Linked DNA regions of Caenorhabditis elegans. The gene in region 2 interacts genetically with the main gene of each other region. Each region holds a gene or a part of one and is shown on either strand. Other genes may lie near its edges. The genes, in order: act-1 and F53B6.5.

Region 1 (4,179 bases), on a different chromosome or scaffold from region 2:
AAATAATGTTAAATCGTGGCGAGACCCACTTAGCTTAGCAACCTGACATGTGCCTTTAAGTAAATCATCAAGTTTTCAAGAAAATAGGATACCAATGTTTTTAAAAAATAATTGAATTCAGTTAACTTTTTTCCAAAATAAAAAATTAAAGAATTAATTTATTGTACATATAAAACTTAAAACTTAAACAAGTTTGCGTTTTTCTCGCAGAGTTGAATCAATGGAGAAGTTTGTGTTCTTAATTAACATTGTTTACATTTAAAACTATTATCCGTACGGAAGTTATCATACAACCGCCTACACTTCCCTTCCTGTTCAAAGATTTTCTGTTTTCTTCCTATCAGTTCGACGCTTCTCGTCGTTTTTGCCTCCGCATGTTGTGTAAACAGATGCTTTCGCCGCCGTGGGAATAAGAAGAAACTATGGAATGTGTGCTTTCTTTCTCGAGAGACGAGCAGTATCTTCACGAACGTTGCGATTCTCGGAATCGCTCTGCGCCCACTCAAATATCTCTCATGTCGCAACTGTCTTCAACGTATTTCTCAAACAGTAACATTTTTTGGCGGCGAGTGCTTCAAGAATCTGTTAATGGTGCTGATAGACAATTTAGAAATATCAATTTTTAAATTTTTATTCACACCCGCAAATGAGTGAAAGGACAATAAGGACAAAAATGGGGCGGTTTTTTATTTTTTTGGGAAATATGCATGATGTTTCCTTGTTGCACAAAAATATGCAAACAAGAAATAGAAAGCTGGTGGTGACGATGGTTTTGAACTTGTTTGTGCAAGTTGACGAAGTTGTGCATTTAGAAGCACTTGCGGTGAACGATGGATGGGCCGGACTCGTCGTATTCTTGCTTGGAGATCCACATCTGTTGGAAGGTGGAGAGGGAAGCGAGGATAGATCCTCCGATCCAGACGGAGTACTTGCGCTCTGGTGGGGCGATGATCTTGATCTTCATGGTTCTGAAAAAAAATCAATTTAATTTGTTAACTGAAACAAAAATAGAAAACTTACGATGGGGCAAGAGCGGTGATTTCCTTCTGCATACGATCAGCAATTCCTGGGTACATGGTGGTTCCTCCGGAAAGAACAGTGTTGGCGTACAAGTCCTTACGGATATCAATGTCGCACTTCATGATGGAGTTGTAAGAAGTCTCGTGGATTCCGGCGGACTCCATACCCAAGAAGGATGGCTGGAACATAGCCTCTGGGCAACGGAAACGTTCGTTTCCGACGGTGATGACTTGTCCGTCAGGAAGTTCGTAGGACTTCTCGAGGGAAGAGGAAGAAGCGGCGGTGGCCATTTCTTGCTCGAAGTCGAGGGCGACGTAGCAGAGCTTCTCCTTGATGTCACGGACGATTTCACGCTCAGCGGTGGTGGTGAAAGAGTAACCACGCTCGGTAAGGATCTTCATGAGGTAATCAGTAAGATCACGTCCAGCCAAGTCAAGACGGAGGATGGCGTGTGGGAGGGCATATCCTTCGTAGATTGGGACGGTGTGGGTGACACCATCTCCAGAGTCGAGGACGACTCCGGTGGTACGTCCGGAAGCGTAGAGGGAGAGGACAGCTTGGATGGCGACATACATGGCTGGGGTGTTGAAGGTCTCGAACATGATTTGGGTCATCTTTTCACGGTTAGCCTTTGGATTGAGTGGGGCTTCAGTGAGGAGGACTGGGTGCTCTTCTGGGGCAACACGAAGCTCATTGTAGAAGGTGTGATGCCAGATCTTCTCCATATCATCCCAGTTGGTGACGATACCGTGCTCAATTGGGTACTTGAGGGTAAGGATACCTGAAATAGTACGCATAAATTTAATCATCGAATGTATTAATTATTTACCTCTCTTGGATTGGGCCTCGTCTCCGACGTACGAGTCCTTCTGTCCCATACCGACCATGACTCCTTGATGACGTGGTCTTCCGACAATGGATGGGAACACGGCGCGTGGAGCGTCGTCTCCGGCGAATCCGGCCTTGCACATTCCGGATCCATTGTCTACAACAAGAGCGGCAACCTCGTCGTCACACATTTTGATTAGTTTTTAATGTACCTGAAAAATTAAATTGATAATATAACACAGAACACGTGGGGAAACGGTGATAGTATTGAGCAGAATATATATTATATATATAGTGGGACAATTCATCAGGTGGGCGGTGGTAAAAACAAAATCAAATAAGGCGTGACTAATACATTGGGTGAGTCATGAACACGATTTTTATTTTAAAAATTCTTATCTATGGTGTGAGGCATTAATGGAGGAAGGAATACTTTCGAAACTTCAGTGATAGTCTTATCTCTGGTGTTATCTGTTCGCTTATCAAAATGCTGTATTTGAAAAAAGTGTTCAAAACTTATTGCAAAATAGCGAAGAGTAAATAAAAGAAATTGAAAGAAAGCGTGGAGATGAGTGAGCTCTGTAAAACTGGGCACCGTTGCTTTTATACTGTGCCATGAAAGACAATTCTGCGTATTGGATTCACCGACTACACAACGAATTAGTGACTATGAGAAATAGAGAGGATCCAGACACCCGCGGGAGAAGACTCCACCCATAAACTCCCTCTTTCCACGGGAGCATCCCTCTTGCCAAGTTCTTCGTATTGGCCAGAGCCCACAACGCCCTCTAGCTATCTTATCCCTCCCTTTTCTCTTCATTTCCTCACGATCTCTCAGTGATCGGACCGATTGCGAAGGCGAGGAGTCCACGAGAGAGGAGGTGAGAAGAAATATGTGGCAACGTTTTTTGTCTATGACGAGAAGGGTGGGAGGTTTACGAAAACAACAATAACTTTTAGAAAGATGATGGGCGAACAGGTAAAGATGAGTAAATTTAATGAATACGTAAAAATGGTATGACCTAAATAATGCACAGGTAAATTAAAGCCAATAACAATTTACTGGAATTTCAATAGCTTCTGTAGAATGCGATTAAAGACGACTGTATTTTATATTTGGCATAAAACTGTTTTTTTTAAATTTAAACGGATATTTTAACAAAACTACAATATGTTTTAATTCATGTTGAATCTAACGTATTTGAATAAATAAATAATAAGTTATATATGATGGTCCGTATTCACTGTATTAATCGGAATCTAAAAATAGTGCATATTTGTTTCCAATAAATGAATTCATCTTACATGCTCACAATTCTTCAAATTCAATAGAATGAAAAATATACTTATTAATTGAAGGCAGAGCTTGTAAATCACCCCGTTGTGCACTAATGCGAACATGTGTGATGGAACATACACTGAGCAGACATATGCTATACATCTTTTAAGGCTATTTAATATTTTCTTTCCACATTTTGAAATTAATTTATTTTTTTTTAATCTTCATTGATATTGGTCTATGTGTGCAAGCACTTGTGAGGGCGGAAAGATGTTCAGAAATCATCGGGAGAGTACCAACTGATATTGAGGAGCAGAAAAAAAACCAGTGGGGGGGGGGGGGGGGCAGGCAAGAAACTCATGCAGGATTTTCTTGGTATATTCGATGAGATAGAAATACTTTCGAAGAGTTTACAAACATCACAGCATAGGGGATCGAAAATGGCAAAAAAGTCTGCGGACCCAATCAGTAATTGGAACGCTAGTGAAGAATTTTTGCGTGGGAAGGTGCAAGGGAAATTAGATGACACATATAAATACTGGAGGAATCGTAGTCTAGATACCTTTTCACTTGAAGAAACCATAAGCCTTTCGACTTTTCTGAAGGTTTGCTTTTTTAACGATTTCCTCGTGACAGAAAGAAAATGAGGCGTGTATAACGATTAGCGCATATTGGGTTGGTTCTGGTATTGCGCTGCCCGCACAGCAATTGCTGGTTAGAAGAGCTTAAGTCAAACCATTCATTGAAACATACATTGACCGGTTTTGTCTATCCTTTTCGAAGCTATTTTCTTCTCAAGAATATATCCTTGGAAAGCCCTAGAAATTAATGTTAGAATTTTGAAGATTTAAAAATTAGAAAATTGTGAAATGTTCACAATTTTTCGTTGCGCATATGAAGGAATTTCGAAATATTTGCGATGACTCATGCAATTTCTGAGAACCAAGCGCATGTTGAAATGCGCCGCCCTTTTATTTTCTATATCTCCAAAGAAGGAATGGCATTTTCCACATTCCTAGCGATCTCTATATTAATTTTGACGAGATTAACGC
Region 2 (3,006 bases):
AGATAGTACTAGTAAGTCTGCTTGTCATCGCGTTCAACAGTTTCTCCTTTTACATGAATCTTCATAACATTTGTCATTAATTTCAGGTTCTATTGGCGCATCAACATACAGTTCTGAAGAAAAACCAAATGCGGGAGAAAAATTCTTGACAGAACTTGCTCACATTGATCAGCCTGGTCGAGAACTCACTATTGTTGCAAGTGAGATATTAATAAATTTGTTTTTAAAAAAATTTGCCGCCAGCAGGGGCCGAACCTGCGACCTTGGGCTTATACACAGGTGATTCGCGGCTCATGCGTGGCGCGTCTCACACGCTTCGCTCACGCGTCTGAGAGGACCAAGCGAAGACGCGCGTCACGCATGCGTCAGGCGCGCGTAGCGAAAGCAAGCATGCTTCACGCGTGCGTTGCGAAAAAAGCGTGCCCCACGCGTGCATTGCGAAAGGAAGCATGCTTCACGCGTGCGTTGCGAACGGGCATGAGTACGGTAGAAATGGGTCCAAATGTAGCGGCCGGAAAGACATGAAGCATTTTTGGCTCATGAAAGCCCCAGAACAAATAATTTTGGTTGATTGTAGCAGAATTCGTAACAAAAATAACTTCATCTGAACAACAAACAAAAAAAGCAGTAATAAAAGAAATTAATAAGAAAAGTAACAAACCAATAATTAGTTGCAATATTAATTAATCAACAAAAACAGCTCATGATGAAGCTGGGGCTCCAGACGTTCCCTCGCCGCCAGTCTTCTCCGTCAAATCCCCCATGTTTTCCAAATCAGCCGAGCCTTCTGGACTTTCGACGAAAATGAGCTCATCCCTGAAATGGAATTGGTATTCAATTTTATCACGAACTATTTTCAAATGTTTATATTATTTTGCTTTTTCACTATTTCAACTTTTCAAATTTTAAAATGAAGAAAATTCTAAATTCGATGTTATGAAAATTATATTTTTTATATTACTGTATGAATTCCACGGAAAAATTCATCAGCACACATCAATTCTTCAATTTCCTTCAAATTCAAGTTCAATTTTTTCTGTGAGCAATATTTAATATATTTTTTACTTTTTATCAAATTTCCCAGTCGACTTGTCACATTTGTCTTCTAGACTTAAAGATTTAAAGGTAACGGTCGACAATTGTACGTGACACCGACAAACTATTGCGGACCGCGCGAAAAATCGTGCCAACTCATTTCTTTGCAAAATCATTCATTTTGAGCATATTTTCTCGTCATTATGATTTTAATTTTGCGAGTTGGACAGAATTTCTTTCACTAATATACAGTTTATATTTTTTTTCACGCTGATAAATTTGTTTGGCTCCCTTTGTCCACTATATATCGATAAACACGAAGATATAGTGGTAATTTTGGGATAAAATCATTTATTCGTGTGAAATTAAACGCCCAGTAACATCATTTCTCAAGTTTCTTTGTCTTCTCTGTCTTATCTTTTTATCAACTTCGTTTTCACTTTCACTCAGAGATTTTTTTTTTAAAGATTCTTCTCTGGTACTTCAGCGATCGCAGAGTGAAGGGAGGACGATGTGGGATTTTGCGGTTTGTGAAGCTCAAGAACTGATGATTCTCTCCGATCAAAACTTTTTACAGACCCAATGGAAAGAGCCACAGACGGCACAATCAAAGAATACGGAATCGAAATGCGAATTCCATGGAAACTCGAATGAGGTGAAGCCGATTGGCAGTCTCAACGGACAGTCGATCGCTCAATGCCGTATTCACACTGAAAAGACGGTTCCAATTGTGAAGGGCGGTGAACAGGCGAGGATGGAGGAGAACGAGATCTACGCGATTGAGACGTTCGGATCTACGGGAAAAGGATATTTTCATGATGATATGGAAACATCGCATTATATGAAGAATTTTGAGCTCGCCGACGAGAAAATTCCACTTCGCTTGCAAAAATCGAAGGGTCTTCTCAACTTGATCGACAAGAATTTCGCCACGCTGGCTTTCTGCCGTTGTTGGATTGATCGGCTTGGAGAGACCAAGTACTTGATGGCTCTCAAAGGTAAGTGTTCCTACTCTACTGCTTCTAGATTGATGCTAATATTAACTCTATTTACAGACCGCTGGATGGCTATGGTTGGAGCTTGTATACTACAAAGCTTTGCGGGAAAAATTATCGGCAAACGTGCAAACCTGCTTCTCAATTTGATAATTTAACATTTCTGAGCTAAAGTTGAAATAGAAATGAAAAAAAGTTCGTTCCATCTGGAAATTATATTTATTTTTCTGAAAAATCTAAGAAAAATCTCAAGTATTGCCGGAAAGTTACCGTTTTCCGGTTTTTCCGGCACTATTTTTCAAAAATGTCACCGAAAATAAATAATTTCCCGTTGGAACGAACTTTTTCTACATTTTTATATCAAATTCAGTTCTGAAAAGTTGAATTTTTTTTTGAAAAGCAGATTTGTAATTTTGTAGAAACATTTTGTCGCAAAGCCATGTAGTATACTCGTCGAAAGTTTCATAGCAGTTGAAATATGAGCGGTTAGTGGAAATGAAAGGTACTAGCGGTCCTCTCCGATCAAAATTTTCAGATCCATCTGGAGAGACGGCCTCGAGTTAGGTAGAACAAGTTAATCGAAACGAGATGGATTTGGAAGCGGAAATTTCGATGGATTTGGAAACGGAAATTTCGATGGATACGTTGGAAATAAAATCAAGAATGAAAGATAATATCTTTCTTGCAGGTATTTTTTCTTTTAAATTTTGAAAAAATATTGTAAAACTCACGGGAAAAAAATATCACTGTGTTCCTTCGCTAGCTCCTCCTTCATCCATCTTGTCTTCACTCGAATCGAATCTTCCCCGTGTGTGAGTTTGACTCCTGACGAATTTCTCAAAAAGTTCAGCAAAATTCAGGATGCGTTTCGAGGCCAAGAAAAATGTCTCATTCTGGAGGTTATCAATCAGTTGAAAGTGTATGACGGTATACAATATGGACAGCTATCCGGAGAACGTGTCATTCTCCCATGCCA

Evidence for each region.
Region 1: of F53B6.5 (region 2) and act-1, changing one enhances a phenotype caused by changing the other (phenotypic enhancement), as found in Caenorhabditis elegans (one study listed by BioGRID).

The regions. Positions count from the first base shown.
Region 1 is NC_003283.11:11,078,933-11,083,111, reverse strand, and holds act-1 (Actin-1), read right to left. Parts: upstream 2,061-4,179; 5' UTR 2,040-2,060; coding exon 1,850-2,039; intron 1,802-1,849; coding exon 1,021-1,801; intron 969-1,020; coding exon 809-968; 3' UTR 697-808; downstream 1-696. UniProt on the Caenorhabditis elegans protein: Actins are highly conserved proteins that are involved in various types of cell motility and are ubiquitously expressed in all eukaryotic cells.
Region 2 is NC_003279.8:8,948,866-8,951,871, forward strand, and holds F53B6.5 (Peptidase_M24 domain-containing protein), read left to right. Parts: upstream 1-1,582; coding exon 1,583-2,033; intron 2,034-2,090; coding exon 2,091-2,188; downstream 2,189-3,006. Other genes in the region: F53B6.7 (O-fucosyltransferase family protein), read left to right, coding at 1-11, 87-200; F53B6.13 (Elf-1_N domain-containing protein), read right to left, coding at 702-816, 2,762-2,805.